2 linked regions of the Drosophila melanogaster genome follow. The protein of the gene in region 1 interacts with the protein of each later gene in a pairwise test. Each region holds a gene or a part of one and is shown in the gene's direction. Other genes may lie near its edges.

Region 1 (4,555 bases):
GCCATGTTGGAATTGAATTCTTTAAGACTGGTTCTCCAAATGCTGCTCCCATTTCGCCAGACTTTCCGGATCCAGCTTTTGGATAAGTACTTGGGCGATAATTCATCCAACGATTTGTGTCGTTGAGCCCATTCCATTTAGCGCGCGAATATGAGCGTTGAATTTATCACACAGTTTACAAAGCATTGAAACGGAACCATTCTGAACTGCCCTTGCCCTAGAATCTCAGTAATGTGTGCCTGGAATATTAAACAAACAGACAAATTCAATGCTATAGCATAGTTGCCATCCGATATTTCAAGTGCAGTGTCCCTCAGACATGTTCTTAGATGCTGCAACTTTTCTATGTTTGTTAGTTCAGGATGGCTATCTATTATCGTAGTAAACATAGAATAGAAGTCCAGCCAGATAGCTCGCCCAAGAGGGGGCAGCGACGTCCTATGCCGGAGTGCTACTTAATTGAAGTGTTAAAGCTTTAAACAGCTTTGCGAGCTTGTTGCAAATTATTGTTTATTAGCTGTTTTTGAGCAATGAAAAGACGAGTTTTGTGTAGCGATTTTGAACGATATGTTTAATAATAGCCGACATGTAAAAAAGATTTTGTCAAAACTTATACATGAGAAATGTTGTGTAAATTTTTGAGAAATTAATTGAAAAATGGTAACATTAAGGACAGTTGTTGAAATTAGGTACAATATTACCATTTGTAAGCGTATGTAAAACGAGCGGTAGAATAACAGTATATTATCGTATCATACGTTGAACGAACTGAGAGGCAGTTCAGTCGCGTAAAGTCAAAGCCAAGAATGTAGAAGGAAGCACATTGCCGCGCGGAGTCGCAATAAACAATCGGATGTCATCAAAAAAAGTGCAACCTGCAAAAACAATATATGGCAGTTAAGCATCTAATTATTCTTTATTATTCTTTGAACGAGCCGTATTCGGTAAGGAGAACCCGGTTTTCAATTAATAACGCCGAGTAAAATAAACTGTTTTAGTTATTTTATATTTATATTTTTTTATTTACCCGTTATTCAGCTAATGCCAGCTTTTGGCATAAATATTAATAAAATGAAAAATTGTTTGGCAGTTTAGGCGTAATGCGACAGTAGGTAAAATGTGCCTGTCATACCGTAAAAACAAGCGAGACAGATAATTGTTTTTATGAATTATTACAGTTTTTTGGTTTGGGTAAACCAAAAATTTGCAATTGTAAACTTATCAAGTTACTTTTACGCATGGGGTCAATCAGATACCTTTAATTTAAAAAATTGTAATATGGTGATAAAATGAATAACTTCATTTAAAAAGATTTTAAAATTTGTTTAATTTACATTATGTTGTGCTAAATCTTGAAACGGCTTGACTTAGAAAGTCTTTACCAAACTTCGGTCTTTGAAGTTAAATTAAATTATATAATTTCGAAGAAATTATTAGTCTTTTCCAAAATCCCACTCATTCCGCACATGACAAAAATCGTTACATGTCACAACACTGTTGATGTACGGTATAAGTGGATATACAAACAAATGAATGTTTTGTGCATCAAAGGTTCCTGAGTGATATTTTGCTTTATGTGTTGTTTTATTTTAATCATAGCAAATCGACAAGATAAAAGTAATGTAAGTTTCACAGGAACTGATAAATGAAATTCACACATATCTAACGTGGGAATTGATCAATTAATTATAAATATGGAATGTAAGAACATATGTATGTTCATATTTATAAACGTTAATCAGATAAAAATTTGAGATATGTGATAAAAATAATTATATGTGAAAACTTATCTGTACATATTGAACTTCATGTATTCAATCTCCTTGGATTGAATTTGTATGAGCGTACAAAAACACTATAAGAATATTAATTAGGAGTGAATCTGATATCACCAAAAATACATACATACGTAATTGCATACAATCTTAAAGATTTGTTGGAGAATATATTATAGGGAAGGAAGCGTTTCCCTAATGCATAAAGTATTTAAGCATATGTATATAAATAACTATATTATTGATCAGGATTACTAGACAAGTCGATCTGGCCATGGGCTTGCTTCAGTTATATGATTTTCGAATTTTTTTTTTATGAATAGTTCGTCGGTGCTGTAGCAACTTTTCATTTATTTTCTATTAACTTTAACAGTAAAGTTGAATCAATACGAAATTTTGGTTAGTATAAAAATTACATTTAAACCAAGACTGCATCACTACTTTTCTTTTAAAAGGTAATATGCAGGCTTAACTCAATGAAGGCGGCGCAAGCCGCTTTTACACTAGCATATTGTTAATTCACACAATGTAAAGTTTACTTTAACTTACTTCACTACATCCTTTAGTCATTCAGACTATACGCTATTTGTTATACTCGTTATACCCGTAGAGTAACAGGGTTCCTAGATCCGTTGAAAACTATGTAGCAGGAGGAAGGAAGCGTTTCCGACTATATAAAGTATATACAAACATATGTAAATACATATATTCTTGATCGAGACAATCTGACCATGTCCGTCTGTCCATATCAGCATCAAGATCAGCCAAAATGTTGAGATTCAGCATACAGATTCTAAAAACATAGACGCAGCGCAAGTTTGTGACCCATGTTGCCACGCAAACTCTAACGCCCACACACCACACAAAACTGTCAAGCCCACACTTTTAAAAAATGTGTTGATATTTTTTCACATTTTTTTTAGTCTTGTAAATTTCTATCGATTTACAAAAAAAAAATTTCTAACGCCCTTAAACCGCCAAAAACTGCCACGCCCACATTTTTGAACAAATTTCTGGATATTTTTCAATAATTTAATTAGTCTTGTAAATTTGTATCGATATGCCAAAAAACTTTTTGCCACGCCTAATCTAACGCCCTAAAACTTCCCCAAACTGTCACGCCCACACTTTAAAAAAATGTTTAGATTTTTTTTCATTTTTGTTTGTCTTGCCAATTTTTTATCGGTATACCAAAAACACCGTAACCACGCCTCCCCTTTTACCAACAAAACGGTCACGCCCACACTTTTAAACCATTTTTAAATCCTTTTTATTTTATCTTTATCTATCGATATCCCAAAAAATGTATGCAATTTTACGTTCGACTACAGCATTCTGTTTTGTTTTTCTCTCGATTTTTTGGTGCTGGCTCTAGAGATGGCTCCAGGCTCTCTCGAATGTTTGTTTAAGAGCCAGAGTGCGGAAAGATATACAGCCAGCTGCCCTCTTCGGCTGTCACTGTATGCGTAAGAATAAAGGAGACAATGATTGTTGGGTGCTTATGTTCGCACTTCGTGTCTCAAGAAATCATTTTTGCAATAAACAGTCAACGTATTTTTATATATTGTATATACAGTTTGTCAAGAAACTGTTTACACACTGTGAAATAAGTTGAATTTTTGACCTTAAAGGTAAAAATGTTCAAACGCTATTTTTTTATGAAATATATTTTTGTTTTACTTATAAATCAAAAAACAAATTATAAATATTAAATATAAAGAAAAGAATTTTGAGACTGTCAAGAAACTCTACGTTTTCTTTATGTGTTTAATGTATGTATGTATGTTTTTATTATTATTTAGAAATTTATTTTTTGAAATGTAATTTTTTTTTTAAATATTTCACATTGCAACTTTAAAAATTGATGTCGCAAAAGATGTCGTCAGTCCCGTTTTACATATTATTAATTATAAACACAAATTAAGATATGAAACATTTATATGAAACACTTTAAAAATCTAATAGTCAAGGCATACATGTTTAAATATTATTTGAGTAGATCATTTTGCAACGAAATTGCCCGAAACTCTAAATATGTTATATCGGATCTTAGATCAAAATTGATTTCTGCCCGAAAATCGTCTTCTAGCACAAGTACGCACACATACAAACATTCTCCAAAGACGCTAGTTATTCTAGTGTCTTTGCTTTCTCGTTTATTCTTTTAGCACACACAAGCAAGTGTATTATTTTTTTCGATTTTATACCGCTCTCAATTTTACTCAAGCGGAGAGAGAGCAATTTTGACCGTCAACAAAAAAGTGGCTGCATAGTGCAAAACCAATGAATGGCCGTTACGCATCTTGTAATTCTATTGTCTTTGCTTTAACTCGGTCTGTGAAATCAAAACAATAAGGAATTCAATAAGACAACTAGCTGTACAAGCTTTAGGAATGATACGAATAAAAGTGGTTGGCACGCTTTAAATAGCTTTTATGTCGAAATTTTTTTTTTTCGATTTTCCTTTTACTTGAAATCGATCGATACGCTAACTAAGTTTTGAAATATCTTCTTGCCTCGCATCTAAATATCGGATTCCTGGTTGTCTTGATAATCTGTGATTGTTCTGATTATTATATGATTAATATAATACTATATATATATATATATATATATATATACAGTATTGCTAGTATGTTTTCACATTAGTAAAAAAATATATCTTCATAATGTACTACCATAAGTAATAAATATTCAAATTTGCTTATATTCGATTCTTAAGTTTGAAAGCATTGGAAAAACAGTTTATATAAAACACGAAAAGAGACAGAAAAGAATCG
Region 2 (3,628 bases), 1.0 Mb from region 1:
ATGTTGCCTTGTCTAGTTCTGAATTTTCTCAAAGAAATAACACTAATCTAATCTTGTATGTTATATACAAGATAATTTAGATTCTTTAAGAAATCTGTAAAAGGTAATTTGAGTTTTTTCTGACACTATAAATTTTATGGTGTGTTGTTAAGCAGGATCAGTGGCCGTATCCATCTACCCCTAACAGTAAAAAAAGGCAAATAGGATTTAAAGGCCGAGATCGCTTTGGACTAGGATTCGGTCATTATCCATATTCAGACCAGCCTAGAATTGGCCCTGATGGACTTGGAGTAAAGAAAATAAATCCTTATTCTTTGTCTGTGCAAACGTGCGCGCATAACATACATAAATACGAGAGCTAATTAAACGTCTGCATACCGACATTTGATAGATTGTCGACGAAAATAAAAGTTGAATAAAACATATATGTAATTTTTTGATATTTTCCTAGGTAAAACAAATTATTGGGGGCTTTAGAGGCACAATGATATTTTTTATTTCCCTGTGCAAATATTCCAATTTTTCTTGTTTTTATGTTGGCTCGCATGACATTATTTGATTAAAAGTGACAATTGTAAGCCTTGTTGGTATTGGAGTAATACCAACCGAGCTCCTAATGCTTTTGTACACTATGTATGTAGATGTTGGCATCCTGGGTGTCAACAATTCTGATCATAATGCTCACTGGCAGCTAGTCCCTCAGATTGCATACTAAGCAGAAAACCAGCGTGCGTACATAATTGGCGTGCCCTTGTCGCGCCAGTTATCGATAACTATTTCCTGCACAGTTAAACTGGAACGCAGTACGGCCAAAACAAAAAACTCATCAGTATTCAGGAGGCTGGGGGAACTGAGCTCTTGTTGTTAGCGCAAGTGCCAACTCATTGGCTTAGCTGTAAGCGTTGGGTGCTGTAATTGCAGCACGCGCTGCTGCTTTTCCCGGGGGCTAGGAACTGATGCTCCAGTAAGCACCTGACAACGTTGGCTGGTAAAAAGCTTCTGGCTACAGAAATAGCGATGCACTTGCCACAACGCAGTCTGTGTCGTCCGTATTTGGGGTCGCCCCAAGCTCCCACCCACCCAGTCCTACCCCTTAGGCCTTCCAACGAACACTAAGGCACATTTGTTATAATTATTTTTAAAGTGCACATATTTAATCAAGTGTGGATTGGGCTGCTATGCAGTAGCACTATGTATGCATGTCAAACAACTAATTAGAGCCCATTTCTTTCCTTTAAGGAATTCTTAATTCAACAGAAACAATGGTTTCGAGTTTAAGGCAAATCAAATTTTAAATAATATAAACGATACTTTAAGAATGAATATTTAAATATTTTTTGAAATTCCAATAGAAATTGGCAAATAATAAATTCAAATTAAATCGAAGTATTCAACTTTCTGAGCGTAACAATTTTTTGCAGATTTTGGGAGTGGTAATCAACTCGGCTGGTAATCTGCTTTGATCAAGAATGTATGTACAAAGGATAAAGTTAAGGATCGCTACCTTCTGTATATATACTAAGCGACAGTAAACCAAGTGTGCAGTTACTCAAGGAAAATTTTGTAGGAGATTCTGTAAATAAAATCCCTGTGAAAAACCCACCAAAGTTCAATGCACGAATCTTGACGCAGTTGCTGCGGTTCATTATTATATTGGTGTTTTGGCTAATTAAGTCATAAAATGGGAAACCCCAGACACGCACACAAACAAACACAAAATCAACGAAAAATTAATTTAAAAAAAGTATTAGATATTAGAAACACCTCTACTAACACTAGTCATATTGTAAACAGTCCAAATAGTTAGCCGCTACTAAAATCGAATAAAATCAAATTAAATTTTCAAAGTATACATACCACGTTCAAAAAGTATCCTAAGTGAATTAAATTTTATTAAATGAATACGCTCTTTGAACTATTCAATTCCGAACTCAGCAAAGTTACGTTGTTCATGAGAACATTAATTACTGTCGGTTATTAACTTTTAAACGTTTAGTAGTAGGCTTCGAGAGCCCTTTCATGGGTAGAGTTTAGTTTGTTTATCCTTAAATGTATTTCCACCACCGTAATCTCAAGCAAACACAACAAAAACACGAGAATTTCAAGTACGGAAAGCAACACATTAGAAGGACCAATGTGGAACGTATCCTCGATCCTGGAAGGGCTAGAGCATGAGCAAGGAGTAAACGCGGACCTCCGCGGCAAGAACGTGTTCAACTTGTGCGTGACCTTCTTGTGGATATTTCTGTGCATCTACGTCCTGTCCAAGCTAACCCAACTCGTGGAGCTCTTTCTGTGCCAGCGGCTACTTGGCCAGAAGCAATGGTACGACGTCCGCACGATCAAAAACGAGTGGGAGCAGACCCTCCAGCTTTATGAGGACGATAAAAGCCAGCTGGACGCACAGGTGCGCGAGTTGCGAGAAAAGAACCTGAGTATGGAGCGCTTGATGGTGGACCTGCGAGACTACAACATCCACTTGATCAGCGAAAACTATATGCTGTCCGTGATGCACGAACAGGTTAACAAAACAAACACAAAACAACCAACATATTTGAGAATCTATTGATCTTAAAATCGCGCGCAATATTATTTTCCATTCAAAGACACTGTTACACTGCTAGCCATGTTATGTAAAGATCTAATTGACCTCGAGACATGTAAAGTGTATTAACAATTCATTGTTCTTTGCTCAGAAACCAAGGCCGGCCGAGCCGAACATCTACATCACCAACAGCCACTTCCATCTCACTCGCCAGATGTTTCTGAACGATAGTCAAATCAATCTGAACGTCCATGACCATGGCGAGAAAGGAGCTTCCGGGGAGGGCAAAAATGTCTGGCTGCAGTATCTAAGGATGCGCAAGTGCTATATGAGCCCGATTGCCGATCCGAATTCGATAGATCCCAGCAGCACCACCAAGCAGATTCTCCCAATTGTTATGAGCACCGAGCAGTTGGCCGAATTGCAAGGTGAGTAAAGTAACAATTTGTGAGATGTTAATAATCGTTGTCTTTTTCTTAGGCATGATCTAGTTAGTTTTAAGTTATATGCAAACATAAATCTCGATTGTTGTATTGATCGCAAAGAAAAAAGCTCAAACAAATATATTTAAATTAATTGCTCTACTTTTCCATTGTTTTTAAACGGAAATAGCGCAAACCTCGGTCAAAACATTTGTCACTATCCTTGCAGTTAAGATAATTATGTTATTCTCACATGTTTGTTTTTCGATTTGAAACGTAGAATCTGTAGAATGATTACTGTTTGTAGCCTTTAAGCTGGAAATAAAAATTAGCTTAGTAATGTTATTTATTTCAATTCGATTCATATTCCAAATTCAATTTTAGCTCAGTGCTTTGGACCACAGATAATCGGTTTTATTTGCCTAACTACCTACCACCTACCGCCTCCCAATTTCCTAAACGCACCGCCCTCTCCTCCCTTCGATGGCCTTCGCGACAACATCTGGCGGAAACGAAACGAAAACAAAATGCAAAATATAGCTGTCTACCAGTCGGTCGTCTGTTTGTTCCAACTGCGACTGCTAAGACGATGACTTATCAAGGCAGAATTTAGCGATTGGTTCTTTAGCTTTCTTCTTCGTTCCCCCACTGTGCCAGAACT

Evidence for each region. Proteins that work in one complex are often made in the same cells at the same time.
Region 2: the proteins of gus (region 1) and CG14589 interact in a two-hybrid assay, tested with the Drosophila melanogaster proteins (one large-scale study listed by BioGRID).

Annotation. Positions count from the first base shown.
Region 1 is NT_033778.4:5,125,293-5,129,847, reverse strand, and holds the start of gus (gustavus), read left to right. Parts: upstream 1-1,526; 5' UTR 1,527-1,622; intron 1,623-2,324; exon of another isoform or gene 2,325-2,445; intron 2,446-2,505; exon of another isoform or gene 2,506-2,599; intron 2,600-4,555. UniProt on the Drosophila melanogaster protein: Involved in the localization of vas to the posterior pole of the oocyte. Required maternally in the germ line for efficient primordial germ cell formation.
Region 2 is NT_033778.4:6,135,293-6,138,920, forward strand, and holds CG14589 (uncharacterized protein), read left to right. Parts: upstream 1-2,010; 5' UTR 2,011-2,134; coding exon 2,135-2,521; intron 2,522-2,696; coding exon 2,697-2,968; coding exon of another isoform or gene 2,969-2,973; intron 2,974-3,025; coding exon 3,026-3,116; 3' UTR 3,117-3,119; downstream 3,120-3,628.